5 linked regions of the Sus scrofa genome follow. The protein of the gene in region 5 interacts with the protein of the main gene of each other region in a pairwise test. Links are inferred from orthologs where the notes say so. Each region holds a gene or a part of one and is shown on either strand. Other genes may lie near its edges.

Evidence for each region.
Region 1: the proteins of KATNAL1 (region 5) and KLC4 interact in binary tests that used the Homo sapiens proteins (3 or more experiments, as listed by UniProt). The two-hybrid records come from large-scale screens. The link is inferred for Sus scrofa from reciprocal best matches to the Homo sapiens genes KATNAL1 and KLC4.
Region 2: the proteins of KATNAL1 (region 5) and COX17 interact in binary tests that used the Homo sapiens proteins (3 or more experiments, as listed by UniProt). The two-hybrid records come from large-scale screens. The link is inferred for Sus scrofa from reciprocal best matches to the Homo sapiens genes KATNAL1 and COX17.
Region 3: the proteins of KATNAL1 (region 5) and KATNBL1 interact in binary tests that used the Homo sapiens proteins (3 or more experiments, as listed by UniProt). The two-hybrid records come from large-scale screens. The link is inferred for Sus scrofa from reciprocal best matches to the Homo sapiens genes KATNAL1 and KATNBL1.
Region 4: the proteins of KATNAL1 (region 5) and CEP57L1 interact in binary tests that used the Homo sapiens proteins (3 or more experiments, as listed by UniProt). The two-hybrid records come from large-scale screens. The link is inferred for Sus scrofa from reciprocal best matches to the Homo sapiens genes KATNAL1 and CEP57L1.

Annotation. Positions count from the first base shown.
Region 1 is NC_010449.5:38,119,300-38,123,496, forward strand, and holds the start of KLC4 (kinesin light chain 4), read left to right. Parts: upstream 1-1,374; 5' UTR 1,375-1,581; exon of another isoform or gene 1,582-2,076; intron 2,077-2,158; exon of another isoform or gene 2,159-2,294; intron 2,295-2,339; exon of another isoform or gene 2,340-2,492; intron 2,493-3,205; 5' UTR 3,206-3,229; coding exon 3,230-3,487; intron 3,488-4,197. Other genes in the region: MRPL2 (39S ribosomal protein L2, mitochondrial), read right to left, coding at 1,154-1,249.
Region 2 is NC_010455.5:140,582,887-140,587,125, forward strand, and holds the start of COX17 (cytochrome c oxidase copper chaperone), read left to right. Parts: upstream 1-1,399; 5' UTR 1,400-1,544; coding exon 1,545-1,651; intron 1,652-4,239.
Region 3 is NC_010449.5:80,343,459-80,347,000, forward strand, and holds part of KATNBL1 (chromosome 15 open reading frame 29), read left to right. Parts: intron 1-802; coding exon 803-853; intron 854-940; coding exon 941-1,030; intron 1,031-1,603; coding exon 1,604-1,693; intron 1,694-2,519; coding exon 2,520-2,613; intron 2,614-3,542.
Region 4 is NC_010443.5:75,169,609-75,173,824, forward strand, and holds the start of CEP57L1 (centrosomal protein CEP57L1), read left to right. Parts: upstream 1-1,384; 5' UTR 1,385-1,647; coding exon of another isoform or gene 1,648-1,651; coding exon 1,652-1,774; intron 1,775-4,216. UniProt on the Homo sapiens protein: Centrosomal protein which may be required for microtubule attachment to centrosomes.
Region 5 is NC_010453.5:7,061,365-7,065,436, forward strand, and holds the start of KATNAL1 (katanin p60 ATPase-containing subunit A-like 1), read right to left. Parts: upstream 2,808-4,072; 5' UTR 2,661-2,807; exon of another isoform or gene 2,420-2,660; intron 1-2,419. UniProt on the Homo sapiens protein: Regulates microtubule dynamics in Sertoli cells, a process that is essential for spermiogenesis and male fertility. Severs microtubules in an ATP-dependent manner, promoting rapid reorganization of cellular microtubule arrays.

The sequences.
Region 1 (4,197 bases), on a different chromosome or scaffold from region 5:
TGGTGGCTGCAGCTCTGATTCGACTCCTAGCCTGGGAACCTCCATATGCTGTGGGTGTGGCCATAAAAAGTCAAAAGAAAGGAGAAGCCTCGGAGAACCAAGGGAGAGGGCACAAAGTTTAGCTTGTAGCTTCCTCCTGGAAATGTCCCAGAATAGGTGTCCAAAACTCCACCCTTCACAGCTTGCACAAATACCAGTGGGAAATCTTTATCTAGATATATGTGTGCTGATTACCTCTTCTCCCCTGATCCTCTCACCTCTGAAGTGTTTCTTCAATGGAGTGTTCTCCCTTTGGTGCATCTTCTTCCAAATTTGGCTCAAAACATTCCTTCTCCAAGAAACTTTTCTTTCCCTAAACAACTCACTTCTCCAGAGCTGATAACTTCTATATATTCATGTGCCACCATCAGCAATGCCCTGTGACCATTTTACTGCATTATGTTTCTGAGTTTTTCAGATGTGAATGGAGGGGAGAGACCATTTATGTTTTGTTCATTGCTGTAGTCCCAACATTTCACATTGTAGGTTGGTTTGGTTTTGAATTTTAAGTATCCATCTGCCAAACTCCACCATCAGTCTGAAAGGTCTAGAGAGGTAAGACAAACTTCTTTTCTGTAACTCACCAGTTGCCCAGCCCACTAGGAATCTTGTGATTTCTTCATATGTTAGGCCCCTAGTCTTGGTATCTTGCCCTGAATTTTCTAATTCTTTTAACTCATCCTTAATGGTTATAATAATATATAATAAGCCAGTCTGCCTAGCTCCAATAGTTGGTGTACGAGCTTGGATTACATATCAGTTTTCTCATGTGTAACACGGTAATGATAATAACTTATAAACTGGTTGAAAGGAATTCATTTATTTAAAAGTTTATTTGACTTGGCTTATGAGACACTCAATAAACGTAAGTTATTATTGAAAGCTGTACATTTGTCTGTGAGGCACTTCATCTTCAATATCTTGTCTGAGGAATCCAGCGACCCTATGAGATAGCAACGTTTACAGAGGAGAAAGCTGAGGCTGAGAGTTACTTATCCAAGGTCACGGGCCGGCGTGACTCCTAACCAGACTCGCACCCCCCCCCCCGCGTCTCCTGGTGCCCCATCTCCGGTTGCCAAATGGAAACAGCCTCACTCCCGGTAAGGTAGATTACCTGGACGGCCGGGAGCAGGTTTAGGCCGGGGGCGACAGCGATCCGGGGCGTCAGGCTCAGAGAGCTAAGAGCGCGGGTCAATACCCGCAGGGCCATGATTGGCCAGGCTCGGTTGGGTTCAGCACACCACCATCACCTTTAGCGAGGAACCCTGGCGCTACTGGATGACGCTAACTGGTCCAAGTGCCGTCGCTCCATCCTGACGTAAAAAGAAAAGAGGCGGGCGGAGAACCCGAGACCAAGTTGGACACACACCTCCTTTCCTCCCTGTGCCAGGTAGACCCAATCCCCCGGCGGCTCATAGGTCGCGTGACTGGGGAACAGGCCCCGCCCCTCAGAGCCGTCAAAACAATTGCCTTGAGCGGCAGCCATGATGGATTTAAAGGGGCAGTACCGGCAAGAGCTGTAGCCAGATCATCAGACTGCGGGTGAGTCTTTAAGGGTACTTTGGGGCAGAGAGTTGAGATCCTGCTACCTCTTTCTTGCACTCCCGGACAGATTAAGAAATGAGCCCTTCCGAGCAGTCTCAAACAACTCGAGTCGGATTCAAAAACTCCGCCCCCCGGGATTCTTCCCGCCCCCTCGGCGTCCAGACGGACGGACAGACGGTCCGCCCCGCCCCCTGCGCTACCAACTGACTCCTTGACCTCGGGATAATCCGGCCCCTGGTCCTCCTCGCCCGCGACGCGGACCTGGGTCATCACCCCGCACCTCCTCCCTTCTCTCCTGCCCATCGCACTCTCTCCCCACCCTGGGCCTCAGGGCAGGTCGACAGCCTGGGACACTTCACCGCATTCCCAGGCCGGGGAGACCAAGTCCTAGCGCCGAGATCCTCTGTGATCCCGCAGCCACTCAGCGGACCTGCCATTCTTCCCTGCATCATCGGGCACCTGGGAGGCACTCTACGCTGACTCTCAGAGCCTGTTAGTATGTTAGTACGTGATCATGATAGAGACAAAGCCATAGAGATGACTGGGCAAAGAGTGACCAGGTCTTCCTCCTCACCCGTTCCCAGACACGCCCCTTGCCTCAGGTCTCAGATCAGATCTCACTCTCTTCTTGGGAGAAAATAGCTCCCAGGCTTGGGGTGGGAGGTTGGCTTCTGGAAGGAGGAGGGACCTTGGTCGTCTTTGAAGACCTGTGGGCAGGGGAGGGAGGGTGTTTGTCCTGGGTGGGGCTCTATGCCAGGTCCTCGGGAGGCTGTGAAGTGGTGAGAGAAGGGGTGGGAACGCTGGACTTCTGGACTTTGGGCAGGGCAGATCCTTCTGAGTCCCTGGCTGCTTGAACAGAGTTTCTTCCGGGCTCCTGCCTGAACGCCACAACCAAGGGTTATATACAGGTAAGAAGACTTCAAAGATGAGAAACAAGGCCCTTTTGAGGAAGTAGTCAGACAGCCTGAGGCCTGAGGTTTCAGGCATGTGGGGAAAGAGGCAGGGCTGACCAGGTTTGCAGATGCTGGGCTTAGCTCTGTGGGCGACCCGCACCTCTAGGTGCCTCTCATCTGGGTCCTGTGATGAAGGCTCCTATTTTTTTTCTTTTCCTTCTCTTTCTTGATTTAAACATTGATTTGAAACCTATTTCTCCCCGCACTTTTTAAAAAATTCTGACTATTTTCAGCATATCTCCTGCCTGCTTTAACCTCGTTCCCTTTGCAGTGCTCTCAAACACCCTCTGTGCTCCCTAGAGGGCTGTCTCTCCTCTCCTGATTCCTTTTCTTAACCCCAAATCTGTCTCCAACTCCTTTTCCATTCTGTTCCTTAGCTCAGTCCCTCTGGTACTTCTCAGCACCTCTGTTCCTTCTATACTTTTTCTTCGTTCAAGTCAATTCCTCTCCTTCTCTATCTCCCCCAACCTTAGTTTTGTGTCTAGTGTCGCAGGCTGCCTCCTCACTGGTCACTTGTTCTCTCCAATTAAACCACAGGGTTCCCCCCCTCCATTTGCTCTTTTCCTTCACTTGGACTCCCCCCTCCACCACCCCTGCCAGCCTCTAACCAGGGCGCTCAGCCCTCGTTGTTATTTTGACTTCAGCTGAGCTCTGTTGTTTCTCTGTAGCCCAGACACGGTCCCCTGGCCAGGATGTCGGGCCTGGTGTTGGGACAGCGGGATGAGTCTGCAGGGCACCGGCTCAGCCAGGAGGAGATCCTGGGGAGCACCCGTCTGGTGAGCCAAGGGCTGGAGGCTCTACACAGTGAGCACCAGGCAGTGCTGCAAAGCCTCTCGCATACCATCGAGTGTCTGCAGCAGGGAGGCCATGAAGAAGGGCTGGTGCACGAGAAGGCCCGGCAGCTGCGCCGATCCATGGAAAACATCGAGCTGGGGCTGAGTGAGGCCCAGGTGAGGGGGAGGAGGTGGTGCCAAGTGGCCCCAGGTAGATGGAGAAGAATTGTCTGATGGAGTTTTGGGTTCATTTGGGATCCCTTTTCCTAGATGCTTGAATTCATTCACCCAGTTAATAAGTATTAAGCCTCCACCATGTGCCAGGCACTAATCTTCTGGATGCTCGGGAGAGTGATCACTCAACACAACGGCCATAAAGCTTTGCCATCTTGGAGCTTAGAGTCTAGCTGGGGGAAGCAGGTGATACACAAATAAATAAGTGATTCAGTGTGCCAGAGTGATAATTGCTAAGGATAAAAAGGTAAAAATAAAGCAAGGAAGGGGATTGGGGTGTATGGAGAGAGGATACAGTTTTAGGTGGGGTGGTCCGGGAAAGCCTCACTGAAAAGGCACCATTTGAGCAAAGAATTGAAGATGAGGGAGTTCTCATCATGGCGCAGTGGAAACAAATCTGACTGGGAACCATGAGATTGTGGGTTTGATCCCTGGCCTCGCTCAGTGGATTAAGGATCCAGCATTGCCGTGAGCTGTGGTGTAGGTCACAGATGCGGCTCAAATCTGGCATTGCTGTGGCTGTGGTGTAGGCCGGCAGCTGTAGCTCTGATTCGACCCCCAGCCTGGGAACTTCTATAGGCTGTGGGTATGGCCCTAAAAAGACAAAAGCCAAAAAAAAAAAAAAAAGAATTGAAGATGAGGGGTTGGGTCAT
Region 2 (4,239 bases), on a different chromosome or scaffold from region 5:
GGATTCTGAGCTGAATCTCTGGAATACAGAAACAAACCTTAGTGTTAGGCTGCATCCCGCAGGTCTGCAAGCCCTGTGCCTACCCAGCTTCATGACTGAAGAGCCCAGAGTCAGTGACAGAGACATGGATGGTTTAATGGCCAGGGGGTTCTTACATGTCTGACAGGACATGGTAAAGTCTCTGCTCCTGGAGGGGAAGGGGAGATTGCCAGTTACAGTGGGAATTGACATCAGGTTGGCACATGAGTTACCAGGGAGACCAGCAGAGAGGCACTGCCCTCACCGCTCTTTAGATAAGAACAATCTCATTGCTGGGGCCTGGGACAAATATGTAGAAAGGTCAATCATGCACTTAGGGGTTGGTGGAGCAGGAAATGGTGGAGCAGGGAATGTACAAAGAGCAAGAAAACAGCCATCTTGAGGGGCAATACCATTGGCTGGTTTAGGTGATAAGCAATGTTTGATTAACCAAAGTGCGTATCCCTAGACAGCTATTTTAACAATGCCTGGAAGTCCTGCTTTAAAAAATAAGTTCATCCTTCCTCAAACAATTCTCTGCAGGAAAAAAACTTAATGGTTATGTCCATTCTATTGCAAATACTGTCTAAGTTTACTTATTTACCTAGATGGATAGGTATTAACTGAATTTGAGGAATGACAATGAAAAGGCATTTTAAAATTTTACTAACCAATATATTTGCCCTATGATTGGCAATTCATATGGAAATCAATTCAGTTGGAGAGGGAGCTATAAACACTAACTAGCTGAGGATTTAAAGCGTGTGGGTGAGGTAAGGTTCCCAGGCTAGGGGTCTAATCGGAGACACAGCTGCTGCCAGCTTATGCCACAGCCACATCAACACCTGATCTGAGCCCTGTCTGTGACCTACACCACAGCTCAGGGCAACGCTGGATCCTTAAACCACTGAACGAGGCCAGGGATAGAACCCGAAACCTCATGGTTCCTAGTCTGATTCGTTTGCGCTGACCACTAGGGAACTCCTTTGCTACTCACTTTTAACTAGAGCGGTGAAGTGGGGTGGTGAAGGCAGTAAGGCAGATAATGGCAAGCATAAGATGCCGGGCGCTAAGTCTGTTACTCAAGAGGAATTGGCTTTCACTAGTGTTTTTTTTTTTTTTCTGTAGCATAGACAGGTCATTTCACCTTCTTGAGTTTCAGTTTTCGACTTCGAGCTGGGTGTATGGTTGAGAGCTCTCCGAGTTGCCTTACGGGTCTCCTCATTTGTGGGTCCTCTCAATGCTGGTCTACAAACATCGCTGCACTTTACCTGGGCTCTCTGCACCTGCGCGGAAAAGGCGCCCTAGCACTAAGGCCATCATTCGGCCTCTTCTGCGCACGCGCGTGCCCTTTAAAACATTTTTCCTCTTTACCTCCTCCCTTCCTCCCAGTTCGTCAGAGTGAGAGGCAGGACTTCCTGTTCTGTTTTGGAGCGACTGCCGGAAATAACTGCGGGCGAATCGGCGTGTCCGGAGGCCGGTAGAGTTTGGGGTGGCAGAGCTAATTGCAGCTTTCGGCGCGAAAAATGCCGGGTCTGGCGGCCGCAATCCCTGCCCCGCCTGAATCGCAGGAGAAGAAGCCGCTGAAGCCCTGCTGCGCCTGCCCGGAGACCAAGAAAGCGCGCGATGCGTGGTCAGTGCGCAGCCGGGGAGGGGGCGGCGGGGCAGGCTCCGTGCACTGCCTTCGGGTGCCGCTGCCCGGACTAGGGCTGGTCGTGGCCCTCACTTTGCCGCGGGGCTCTCTTGAGGGTTATAGACCTGGGTAGGCTTCGCAGTCAGCTGTCTGTAGACTGAGCTCGTAGCTTACCCTGGGGAAAAGGTTGAAGGGATCAGAGAGAGGTCAGATTGACCCGCCGCGCTCAATCCAGGCATTCCTTCCTACAAAAGGTTTTTCATCAGCTGTTATGGGTCAAACATTGCTTTAGGACCGAAGGCTTGTAAACGGATGGATGCTACTTGATTTAAAGAAACACAGGAGTTCCCGTGGTGGCTCACCGGATTAAGAACCCGACCAGCAGCCATAAGGATGCAGTTTCGATCCCTGGTCTGTTCAGTGGGTAAAGGAGCCGGCCCTGCAAACTGCAGGGTAGGTCGGTCGCAGATGCCAATGGGATCTGTGTGGCTGTGGCTGCGGTGTAGGCCGGCATATGCAGCTCTGATTCAGCCCCTAGCCTGGGAACTTCCATATGTCCCAGGTGCGGCCCTTAAAAAAAAGTAAAGGGAAACAGTTAATGGAAACGTTTTTCAATGATTGCTCTACTATGGTTTATGGGCCATGATAGAAGACTTGGCAAAATCAGAGTTCCCTTGTGGTGAGAGGGGTTAAGGATCCCACGTGGTCTCAGCAGCGACTGCCGTGGGGCGGGTTCGATCTCTTTTCGGGAAGTTGCACATAGTTCCCCCGCGGCCAAGAAAAAAAGATTTATCAAGATCAAAGAGTAAAAGTTTTCCGGTTTTCTGGTAATTTCTCCCCGAATTTAGTCATAGTAGGGTACAAGGTACATTTCTTAACGGTACAGAAAATCCCCTAAACTCTTCCCCCCACCGTTTTAGGTAGATAATTTAAAAATCAACTAGGCTATAACATATGTGACACTGTAGTGTTCAGAATTGTTTATCTAAATTACCATCAACCTGCAAAAGGTTTTCATTTCTTCTTACTGTATACAGCCTCTGTTGTGGAACAAATCTCAGAAGGAATCTTCAGATAATGTGAATGTACACCTCTCCCTCCAGTCCCTTTTTGTCCTCACATAAAAAGTAAAGAAATCATAAGTGACATAGTGGGAAAATATGAGTGGTAGGAGCCAAGTGCTTTTTGTTAATATCCACTACTGTGCACATAATACTGTTAAGGGAGATTCAAAAGACTACGATCAGATACTATGCTTCCACATTAACTGTTAAGTGCTTATTGAACCTTCAGACCATATGATATTATGATGGAGCCTGGGATCTAGTGTCAAGGTTTGAATCCTGGGGCGTCAACTCTGTTACCTTGATCGAATTATTTAACATCGTTGCCTCCTGTCTGTAAAATGGGCCTAATAAAAGTGTCTGCCTCCAGGATTATTGTAGGGTTAATGCTATAAGCCACAATATTTACAGTATTCAAGAAATGATCTGGGAGGGCTAGCTATTGTTTTGGGGGGGCATTGTTTGTTTTTCTTTTTCTGGCCTCCTGAAGGACATGGAGTTCCCAGGCCAGAGATGAGAGCCTCAATTGCAACCTATGCCACAGGTGTGGAATGCTGAATCCTTAACCCACTGCATCCCAGTGCTGCAGAGACACCACTGATCCCTTTGTGCTACAGCAGGAACTCCAATTATTTTTATAAGGAGCTTGCTGTCCCAGGCAGACAGCTCTTATGAAAGATGTGTAGGCTTTAGAAGAAAGGAGAACCTCCCTTTCTTTAAATTACTTCTGCATCAATTACTTCTGACCACTATGGCTTCTCCCCAAATATCTATAGTTAGGAGTTATTTTTTTCTTACAATTGAATTTGCCTTAACTTGGTTCTTTCCTAAAATTACATTTTCAGGCCCTTAGAAATGAAACTGTGTGGTTCTAGTTTTTACTTTGTGAATTTTACAGGTCAAAAGTTCTTTGATCATCATGACTGGGGCTCATTGGGCTGCTCTGGGCAGCCAGATATTTTTTGCTATTTGTGAAGGGTGTCTTGTTATTAGAAATAGACTTATCTAGATGTATGTGAATGTAGGATAGAATCAAAAATTGGATTCCTCTGTGATAGGCAAAAAGTAAAGTTCTTTCTGTCCATTTAGTGTTAATTTTTTATTCAGTTTATTTTGTTATAGGTTAGTATTATTGGGTAGTGTCTAGAGGTAATATTTAATATGCATAATTTCTTCTAATCAGATGCCGCCCGCCCCCAACTAGATATCAATAGAACATCTTCATGGGTAACGAAATATCACAAGAGCCAATAAAAACAAAGCCATTTGGTATAATAGCATTTTTGTTTTGGTTTGGTTTGGGTTTTTTTGGCTTCCCTGAGGCATATGGAGTTCCTGGGCCAGGGATCAGATTAGAGGTGCAGTTGCAGCCTAAGCCACAGCTGCGGCAACACTGAATCCTTAATCCGAGTGCATGGCCAGGGATTGAACCTGTGTCCCAGTGCTCCCAAGAAACCACTGATCCCATTGCACCACAGCTGGAACTCCTGGTATAACAGCATTTTTCAAAACTCAAGGTACGGT
Region 3 (3,542 bases), on a different chromosome or scaffold from region 5:
AGGAAAACGAACCTTTTAAAAATCCCATTTGATTGAAATTTTTAACTATTAGCTTTCTAACTGTAAACAAGTCTCCTCAAATGTTATCTTGGTGAGGCTTTCCTTGACTACCTTATTTAAAAATACATATTTCTTACTCTCTACCCCTCTTTCCTGTTTTTTTCTCTATAGCACTTAACATCATGCTTTTAAATATTTTATTTGTTTATTGTCCGTCCCTGCCCTCTCCTATTCCTGCCCCCCATTACTCACACACATTGAAATATAAGCCCTATTTCTTTGTTCACTGCTATATCCCTAAAACCTGACTCATCATAACCACTTCGATAATTTGTTGAGTGAGTAAATTTCTCAAAAGCAGTGTGGGGAGTTCTTGTGTGGTGCCAAAGAAACAAATCTGACTAGTATCCAGGAGGACGCAGGTTCAATCCCTGGCCTCAGTGGGTTAAGGATCTGGTGTTGCCATGAGCTATGGTGTAGGTTGCAGATGCGGCTTGGATCTGGTGTTGCTGTGGCTGTGGTGTCGGCCAGTAGTTGTGGTTCTGATTCAACCCCTAGCCTGGGAACCTCCACACGCCATGGGTGTGGCCCTTAAAGAAAGAAGTGTGAAGATGATAATATAAAAATAAATAAAAGGGGGTTCCCTCGGGGCTTGTTGAGTTAAGGATCCAGTGTTGTCACCGCTGTCATGTGGGTTCGATCCCTGGCCTGGGAGCTTCCACATGCTGTAGGTGTGGCCTAAATAAATACATAAATAGAGAAATAAAGAAAATAAGACCTCTAAGCAGTTTTGTTCCCACAGGATAGAAGACCTTGGAGTTGTGGTGGATTGCCTTCCTGTGCTCACCAATAGGTAAAATGAATATTTTTCAGAAAAAAAAAATTAAAGAAGGACAAATTATGACCTGTTCATATTTTTATAACTCAGTATTTATTTTAGTTTACAGGAAGAAAAACAATATATCTCACTTGGCTGCTGTGTAGACTTGTTGCCTCTAGTAAAGTCACTACTTAAGAGCAAATTTGAAGAGTAAGTGCTGATCCCAATTCATTTTTCTCTTTGAATATCCGTGATTTGGTGCCTCATGAATGCATAGTGGTAAATTGAGCTCAATGAAGCATATACATAGTTTCTGTTTTCTAGTGGCTTATAGTCCACTTAGGAAAAGCATATGAGAATGACTAAAGAACAATTACAAAGGAGTTCCCATCATGGCTCAGTGGTTAATGAACCTGGCTAGTGTCCATGAGGATGTGGGTTCAATCCCTAGCCTTGCTCAGTGGGTTGAGGATCCAGTGTTGCCATGAACTATGGTGTAGGTTGCAGAAGTGGCTCAGATCCCGCATTGCTGAGGCTGTGGCGTAGCTCCAATTGGATCTCTAGCCTGGGAACCTTCACATGCTGTGGGTGCGGCCCTAGGGAAAAAAAAAAAGAACAACAGCAAAAACATCTATGAAATTACATAAAATACAATTTTGTGAAATAAATTTTCAAAGGGGAAAGATCAGTGTGTATGAGTTTTTTGAGGGGGTTATAATCTCATCTTTTGTAAAGGCTTCTTTGATGAAAACACTTGAATTTTGTAACAAAATGTCATTTCAGATACGTAATAGTTGGTTTAAACTGGCTTCAAGCAGTCATTAAAAGGTGGTGGTCAGAACTATCATCCAAGACAGAAATTATAAATGATGGGTGAGTATACATTTAAAGATAAACTCATGCTACTAAATATTTTTTTTAGGAAAGCAGCTTGATTAGGCTAGGTGAAAATTTTATTCCATGATTATCAGTGTGTAAGACTTATTCTGTTCATTTTCAGAGAAATAATAAATTGGAATACTGGTCATATGTGAAAAATTCCATGTGAAAGTTGAATTCCATAACTCTGTAACTCCTGTAGCTATTGTTCTGGCAGCATTCTGCCCTTTCTCTTAGGAAGCAGAAGCACAGAAGTGGTTTAACCCTCATGTCTATCATAAAGGGGTGAGAGAATAAAAGAAATGGCCTGGAGTGAAATAAGTATTGAGGAACCAGAATGGAGGCCTCCTGCGGGGTACTTTGGCTACCTAACCATTAATATGAGAATTCAGTGTGGATGATTACAGTTCTAAAAACTCAATTATAATCGTAATTTTAGTTTAGCCTTGATGTGAAAAATGTATGAATCTTCCACCAAATGAGCCAGATTATCATGAAGCTACCAAAAAAAACCAAAAAAAACCCAAAAAAAACTCTCAACAATTTCCTTAAAGTCCATAATTTTCTTTGGAGGCTCTCAAAGTTTTCCCACTTCACACCCAAGAACCAGTTGTCTAAATGCTTTGTTATTTTCTTACCAGCTTAACAACTAAGTTATTTCTGTGATTGACATGTACTGTTTTAACAAATTGCTTGACTTCAAATGGTATAATTTTATCCTGATAAGTACTTGAAAAATTCAAAACAGTTTTCACTAAGTGTATTTACTACCAAAGTCCATATCCTACTGTATTTGCATTTCTTCTTTTTTTCTTCCTAGAAATATTCAGATTTTAAAACAACAATTAAGTGGATTATGGGAACAGGAAAACCATCTTACTTTGGTTCCGGGATATACTGGTAATATAGCCAAGGTAACCTATCTATCTGTCTATCTATATATATTTTTTTTTTTTGTCTTTTTTTTTTAAGGGCCTCACCACGGCATATGAGGAAGTTCCTAGGCTAGGGTCAAATAGGAGCTGTAGCTGCCGGCCTATACCATAGCTACAACAAGGCGGGATCCGAGCTGTGTCTGTGACCTGCACCACTCACAGCTCACGGCAACGCCGGATCCTTAATCCCCTGAGCAAGGCCAGGGATCAAACCCGAAGAAATATTTTTACTTGGCTCTTGCTAATGTCATGCTTTTTTGGGAAAGTTAAATTGTTCAAATCACAGTATGAATTTGACATTGTTCTTTGTTGATTTGCTTATCTCTTAAAGGAAAAGGTACATTGTTAGTTTGGATTTTAATATTTAAACTCCAGAAAACATTGCAGTTAAAATTGCAGAAAAAAATTATTAAGAAATATTTCCACCCTTGTTTGGGGCATACTGCTATCATAAAAGGTTTTGGAGAATACATGGTATATCACCTTATTCTGGAAGTGTCTTGTATTCTTAGTGGTAGAACTGAAAATTTGTTTCCTTTGAAATTTGCTTTCTTTTTGCTTTTCTCGGCCCACTCCTGCGGCACAGGGAAGTTCCCAGGCTAAGATTGAATTAGAGCTGCTGGTGCTATGCCACACAACGCAACTGGGGATCTAAGCTGCATCTGCAACCTACACCACAGCTCATGGCTACTCCAGATCCTTAACCCACTGAGTGAGGGAAGGGATCAAACCCGAATCTTCATGGGTACTAGTTGGGTTTGTAACCTGCTGAGCCACAACAGGAACTCCCAGAAATTTGCTTTCAGTTGTAATTTTTTTTAAGGGAAAAGCTTTATTGTGACTACTACCTTAAGTACTGTATTATTGCAAACAATATTGAGTGATTAAAAGTTCTATAAAGTTCCTTA
Region 4 (4,216 bases), on a different chromosome or scaffold from region 5:
CACTTCGTATTTTTAAAACGAGAAATGTAAGAAATAAATCAGAAAAATCGAATCGTCACGAAAACATAAGCCTGGGTGACATTGGTACCAGAAATGTCTTCGATCTACCAGACAGAGCTCGCCCTCTCCTTCTACCCGGAGTAGCAGTCTTCTAGTCAGACAAAAAAAAAAAAAAAAAAAAAAAAAGTTGGAAAGTTGAAACCTTACAGAGCTGGCTTTGCTGGACAGTGTCGGGGAAGTGTTCCTCTCCGTCTCTCGGGGTCAGCGGATATCCTCAAGCCGTGGAGCTGTCAAATCCGTGCTCTGCCCCAAAAGGCTGGATACAGTTGAACGCTCTGCAGCCACTCGGTGTTTTTTGTCCGTGCAGCCACGGTGTTCTCGGGAGCGTTCCCACCCCGCCCCTCCTCCGGCACCAGTCCCCGCCCTCCGCAGCTCCTCCCGCCCGGCCGGGCGCTGGCTGGAAAGGCTCGCCGAACCCTGGCTCGCTGGACGCCGCGGCTAGAGACCCTGGCGCTCCCCAGGGGCTGCAGTCTCGTGCAGCCTCTGTCTCGGTGGTGGCGTTGGAGGAACGCGTCTCTGGCTCTGCGGATTCAGAATCCACGGGCTGACGCTGCTTCTCTTCCAATCCCGGTATCCTCGCCCACTGCCGGCCAACCCAAACCGGCACAGGGCAGCCCAGCAATCCCCGATCGCGGGGCTGGGCCGCGAAGCTGGCGGAGCGGCAGGGCCCCAGGCGCAGAACCCGCCCCTTCGCCCAGCCCCATCGATGGGGCTCGGCCCAGAGGGCGGGAGCGGGGAGGGGAGACGGGGTCCTCACCCCCAGCCCCTCCCCTTTCTCCGCCCGGCACAAGCCAGGAGCCGCCCCTGCCCCTGCCCCTGCGCCCTCTTCCCCGCCCAAGCAGACGCGACCCGCTGAGGCAAAGCCATCGGAAAAAGCCCCGCCCTCCAACAAGCTACCTCCGGACCCCGAGCCCGCGAGCGGCCGCCAACCGCTGACGGCTGCTACGCATGCGTAACGGTGGGCCGGGCGCATGCGCCTTAAGAGGCACCGAATCTGCTCGGGGGGCGTTTTTTTTTTTTGTTTTTTGGTTTTTTTGGTTTTTTTTTGCCTTGACGTTCGGCTTCTTTGGGCTGAACGGGGGTAACGAAAAGTTGAAATACGCCGAAATTATCACACACGAGACAAGAACCGCAAATAAGGAGGGCACAGATAAACTCCTGGAAGAACTCGAATCAAAATTTAAAATCAGAGGAAAAAATAGAAACTCTTTATTGCGCCAAACACCAGATTTAAGAAGGCAGGGCGTCCTCGCATTGACTTCTGGGAAGTGTAGTTCTGGTGCTGTAGGCGCGTTCTGTTTGAGACAGAAACTACAGCTCCCGGGAGCCACTGCGACGTTGCCTGTGGCTCCCTGCGAGCCAACGGCTAGCGCTGCCGGAGATTTGACTGAGAGATTTGGCTTGGTGAGCACTGTGGGCTTGGCTGACACTTTTCCTTTGACAGTATTTTTCCTTCCTCCATTTCCTGTGGGATTTTAGAAAGGAAGCCGTCTCCTTAGAGCTGTACTCCTTAGTCCAGGGACTATCAGTAATCTACGTGGGAAGAACTAGTCCGAGTGCCCAAGACCGCGGGCGCGTTGAGAGGACATGGATGGTCGGAAAGAGCTGCATAAGGTCAGGCAAGAGGGATGCTGTGGAAACTAGTGCTCCGCGGTGCTACCTCTGCTTCTGCTCTGTCAGGTGGGCTCACGCGGGATGGACTCAGTATCCCTGTGTAAGTGCACCTTTGTTTGCCATTGCATAGGATTGTTTGAGGCTTTATTTGCGCAGAAGAAATCCTGTGCCACACTTTGAAAGAGAGTTGTCAAATCCTTTTTGTACAAAACTGAAGGGAAAAGAATCCCTCGTGTTCCTAGATATGAATATTTGCAGGCTTTAAGAATACCATATGGAAAAAAGACTTATAAAAATCTCTAAAATTTAGTAATTTTAAAAGATTAAATAATTTGTTTGCATATTGCTGTTTGAAGTCATTCTTCTTGAGAAAAGTTGAGGTTTGAAGGGCTATCACTGGACTGATAACAAATTAGTTTTAATTTTTCATGTTGCACAATACATGCGTTTCTAAAACTTAGTTTCTAAAAACCAAGTACTGGACAAGTGGAAAACGCACAGTTCCCATCTAGTTAAACTAATGGTTAAACATTATACAATACATATATAAAGTACAGTACACACATTAAACATACAGTACTATATGATATTATTAGGATGGCTAGAAAGATCACTTAGGCCGGTCTTGGAAAGTCAGGGAAATCTTCATCTCAGGGAAAGAGGGTCAAAAGAACAGCATATGGTGAGGCCAAGAGTGAGGGAGATAGTAATTTCAGGAAACTGCAATAAGCCAAAATCATATACATTTCAGGAGGAATAGCTTTTTGTGTTTTGATGTACAATACAGCAAAGAGAAAAGAGTAAAGAGCAGAAAAGAGAAACGTACTATGAATTTTCCAGATAGTTTCTGAAAGTGACCTATCCTTGAACAGAGTTCTGATGAATTGGTTTAATTTGGAAAGCCTAGAACATTCTAATGTTGCTTGTTTAAATCAGAATTTTAAAAAATGAGAACTTCCTTCTTATGAGTATGATTTCAGAAAACAAAGCCACTCCTTCTTGTGTCTTTTGGGGTGGGGGGAGGCTCATCTTCCTTTGTCCAACCCACAAAGGATAGGGTAGTTTCTTAAGTGTGGGTCTCCTTTTTACTTTGTGATTGAGTATGATCTCATTCATAGCCATGGTTTCACCACCACCTATGACTTAAATGTATAATTTCATCCAACTTCACCTTTTAGCTTTGTTTCACCACCACCTATGACTTAAATGTATAATTTCATCCAGCTTCACCTTTTAGCTTTCTTATGCCCATCTCTATGGTGTTTCTTCTTGGATATCTCAAAAGCACCTCAGACTTAACATGCCTAAAACCAAATGAACAGTATCTTTTATGAATCTGATTATTTCCCAGTGTTCCCTATTTCACTTAGGGCACTGCCATGCACTTGTGAAAATTTGAAACCTATGCATTATCCTTGATTTCCTAATGTCCTTCATACCTCTGTAGCCAAATTATTTTTAAGTACTCTCAATTTTGTCTCCCAAATATCCCTCAAATCCATCCTTTGCCTCCATCTACATAAGCACAGTCTTTTCTAAACTGCCATAAACTCTTGCCAGGAATGGTGAAATAGTGATTATTCACTCTGGCCTTTCTCCATTAGTTCTCCACACAGCAGCCAGAATCATCTTTTCAAAATGCAAATCCATTCAGATTCACATTTTCACTTAAAACCATTCAGTGTGTGTCCTACTTTTAAAGGCAAAATTTCTTTACAAATGTCATCTTATGTCATCTGGTCCCTTCCACCTCTCCAGCCTCACTTAGTACACCACTGTCCACCTATCTGTGGAGACCTTTCTTCAGTTACTGGCTCTTATATTCCTTTTTATCCATTTGTTCACTGAACAAATATCTTATCAAATACCTACTGTATAAGGGGACATTGAGGATATACTATTGAGCACAATGTATGAAAGTTTTTACTCTCATAGGTCTTCCATTGTGCTAAGGAGAGATAGACAATAAATATGTGGCATATATAGTAAGTGAAGACAAATGCTGCAGAGAAAAATAAGAACCAGCGGGGAAAGGGAATGTGGAGTGGCAAGTTTTAGGGGCAAGATTCTCTTTTAAATAAGGTCAGAGAAGGCCTAATCAAGAAGGGAACATATGAGGGATCTGAAGGAGGGGAAAGAGTAAATGTGCAGGTGCCTGGAGGAGAAACATGTCTGTGAAGAGAACAGCCAGTGCAAAAGCCTCTGGGTGCCCACATTTAACAAATAGCAGTGTGGCAGGAGATGAGAATAACATGAGATCACAGAGGAAGGAGGTCCTGTAGGTGATTGAAGGAACAATTTTTTTTTTCTTTTTTTCTTTTGCTTTTTAGGGCCGAACTTGGGGCATATGGAAGTTCTCAGGCTAAGGGATAAATGGGAGCTGCAGCTGCTGACCTGCGCCACAGCCCCAGCTACAGGGGATCTAGGCCTCATCTGCAACCCACGCCACAGCTCGCAGCAACACCAGATCCTTAACCCACTGAGTAAGGCCAGGGATGGAACCCACCTCCTCAAGGATACTTGTCAGGTTCATAACCTGCTG
Region 5 (4,072 bases):
TTTTCTTCATTTTTGCAAGGTTTAGAAATGATGGGCAGCCACCAAGTCCATTAGACACATTTCAATCTTCCCTTACCCTCCCCCAGGCACCTGGACCACTTACTCCCTGATTCCTACTCTTTGCTGTCTGTTAGGATGCTCTCTCTGGTTCTCCTTCCTCTCTGCCTCCTAACCACTCACACTCATCTGTGGACTCACCCCCGTTTCCTGTCAAACACTGAACCCCGTAAATGCTGCTGCTTCCCAAAGACTCCATATTCGAACCTCTTCCTTTTTCATTTCTTCATGTTCCCCCTATGTGAGCTGATCCATTCTCTCCTTTAACTTCTTAACTACATGTAAACCTCTACCTCCTGAACTCCAGATCCAAAAGCATCCTTCCCTGAATATCCCACAGGAACCTTGAACAAATATTCAAAAGTGAAAGGATTTATCTTTATCTATCACCCCAATAAAAACCTGCTCCTGCTCATCTCAATCAATGAGCTCACTATCCCATCTATCACCCTGGCCAGGAAACTAGGATTCATTCATCTTAGGATTCCAAATCTTTCTAGCCCCCAAGATCCAAACTCTTATTAAGTCCTATCAATTTTATCTCTTAAATATTCCTACAACCCGTCTCTTCTATAACTCCAATGGTTTACCTTAGACTCATTTCATCTCCCTACTGGACTTTTTTTTTTTTCTTCCTAAAACTGGTTTTCCCACCAACCACTCTAATTTCTCCTCCTCTGGATCCATTCCCCAAACTAGAGCCAGAGCTATCTTTCTCAGCTACAAACCCAATAATGTCACGACTCCTCTGGAAACTCTTCAATGATAGCCCCATGTTGAAGAAAAATTCTAAACTCTTTTATCATGGCAATAAGTACTCTGAGGTCTGGTCTCTCCCTACTACACTGCAAGTATTTTGGGGTTCAGTAATCAGAGTGACCCAGGGTTCCCTAGAAACAAAGCATTCAAATCTCAGCTTTTGCTTCTGTGATGCCATTTGCCTAGAGAGACTTTTCTCAGCCTCTCTCCAGCACAAGATTAATCAACTTTCTTAGCACAGGTCAAATGTCACATCATTCTGAAGACTTCTGCTAATCTCCTGAGGCAAGGACCAAAGGGTACAGAGAATGGCATCAGTGGTTGAGATTATGATTTAGATGAATTAGACTCACCTGGGTTGAAACCCCAGGTTCACACTGATGACTTTGGGCAAGGTCTCTAAGGCTGTTTCCTCATCTCTAAATAACAGCTACTTCGCAAGGATTAAGGATTAAATAAGGGGCTACATCCAAAACATGTGGCAGAGTGCCTCCCACAGAGTAAGTACTCAATACATATTACCATGACATTACTATGTGTTCACACTCTGGGGGGTATAGCAACTTACACGAGCTCTATCACACTGATGATGTGACATGGCCGTTTGCCCATGCAGGGCACAGATTATCTTCTAGCATCTCTTTATTCCACAATCTGGCACAATACCTGGCACACAACAGGTCCTTAAATTTTAAATGAATAAATAAAATACTTCAAACCCCTATACTGTATAACACAAAGCGCTGATTTTTTTTCTAGTGACCTTATTAAACCTACTTTTTAATCTCCTCATACAAAATCGCTACTTTAAGTTTATAGAGACCAGCTTCATTTAATCAAGAGAAAAGGAATTTTATAGTGGCCTTATGTTTTCTTGTCTAAATCACACACATAAAATAAGCCCACATCAGCTATTTCCCAACATACTATTGCAAAAATACCAAATTTCTAGGATGCTTATCTACCTATTGAAAAATTTTAAAAGGTAGACAAGGCAGGTTTTCTAAATCTGTTTCAGAGTTAATTTTCCTTACTATCACGGCCTGAGCAAACTTTAGGAGCCAAGGTGTATTCCAGAGCATTAGAAAAAAGGAAAGAAAAGAAAAAGGAAGGAAGGGGGAGGGAGGAAGAAAGAAAAAGGTGTTTTTTATTCTCCTGAGAACACTGGGCTAGTCAAAGAAAATATTTATCACTACTGCTTAAAAAGAAAAAAAATAAAAAGTCTACACTTTGAAAAACACTAGTAATTTAATGTAACCTTTAAGATGGAATCAAAATGTGTGCTGGCAGTGTTTAAGCTGGGGGGGGTGGAAGGGGTTCTCATTTTGTAATCTTGACTCAATAAATAAAATGCAAAATGCAACACGGTAAAAATATCAGACACTACTATCTATCAGCACTGTACCTTTCATCCACTTCTACATTTAACCTTTAAATATTACTGCCCTTTGAGTAATTATTAATCAGAGGGTTTAATTAATGCAAACACCTCTGAACTGCTTCAGAGTGAAACTGATCAAATACCTAGAAATAAACGTATCAGGAAAAGGAGAAAAGCCTGTTAAAACAGTTTTCCAGGTCTCCCAGCAAAAGTGTGCCATACCTACGGTTCTGCACCGCGAGGCAGCAACCTGGGAGGATGAGAGGTGCCGAAGGCCCGAGGCCCTGCAGCAGCCGGGCGGCCGCTCTTCCCCGAGGCTACTCGGGGCGGCGGCCCGGCCGGGGTGGGGCCAACGCTGCAGTCGGGGCGGGCCGAAAGGAGGGCGAAAAGGCCAGGTCTCGCCTCCGCTTCCCCTTCCCAGCGCTCAGAACGCCGTTCCGCGACCCCCCACAAGCCCCCTCACCACAAAGAGAGAGACTGGTCCCTCTCCGGCTCCGCTCAAACTTTATCGGTCTTTCTCAGTCGTCGGGGCCGCCGGGCTCTGTAGGCCGCCCATCCAGGCCGCCCCACCAGGCCACAAGCCTGAGGAGCCGCCGAACTACAATCCCCATAGTGCTCCGCGCCCCGCGGCGCTCCCCCTCCCGCCGGCACGCACTGCCTGTCCCGCCGCGCACTGCCCCCGGGTCTGCTGAGGCGGGGGCCGGGGAGGGACTTTCAACCCGGGGACCTCACCACGGGCTGGCTTGCTGGCGCCCGTCTCCCTCAGATTCATTACCTAGGTGCCGCAGGTCGGCCGACCGTTTTGCTGCGGGGCAGGTGGGGTGGGGGTGGGGCACAGGCCGCAGCCGCCGCGGAGTCCGTTAGTTCGCGACGTGCGTGGAGAGGCGGTGGCGGCGGCGGCGTACGGTTGCCATGGCAGCTGTGGTCCGCACGGCGGGGCGGGGGAGGAAATCGGGGGCTTGGAGTCAGCTCCAGGGAGGAGCCTGGGAACCCGCCCGGGTGCGGGGGCAGGGAGGCGCGAGGGTGCGTCTGGGAGCGGAGGGAGAGCGTGACATTGAGGAGGACGGTGACGAATTGCGCTCTCTTACCGCCGATGAGCCCTGCGCCGCAGCGTCCAATCCCCGTGGCAGGGCGCGTGTCCGTCCCCTCCGCCCGCGCGTCGATGCCTGCTCTATTCTGAGAGGATGCTTGTGGCGTCAGAGGAAGGAGCAGCGCCCGGCTCTTTAAAGGTCGCTGGTCCAGGCCCTCCCCCGCCGCCCATCCTCCTCTGGGCATCCCCCACTGGCCAGGCCCTATGGCTTGTTTGAACCCAAGCCACCTCTTTTGGAGTGTTTCACCAGTAAAACCGAATTTGCAGTTTTTCACACCCCCTTTCTGCCATTTTCTGAGTAGGATAGAAATGAACCATTTAGTAAAATACAACGCATTATTCGGGGGGGGGGGGGCTGAGACTTCAGTTGAATTTTGAGCTATAATATTTCTTTAATCGTTTGTGGACTGGCCATGACCCATCGCGGAGATGCACCATAGTCTGAACTGAGGTTAAGAGCAGGGGTTTCTAAAACCCACTTCTTAGTCCCCTACCTGCCACTACACTTGGTAGCTGAGACCTGGGGGCAGTGATGCTCAGCGTTTTAATCTGCAACGTGGAGATAATAATCTAGTTCACAGTGCTTGTGAGAAAGAAAAGCACTGATACTGATGAAGCTTTCCAGAACAAAGCCTGGCATTTAACAGTAACTTTTAAATATTAGTTCTTTAACCCATCGGTGAGACGAGCCAGAAGGTGGGAGGCCGGAGCTGAGGGTGGGGTTTGGCTGAAGAGGGAATTTTTCCGTGGTGATGGAAAAGCCCTGTACCTTGCTTAGGGATTGG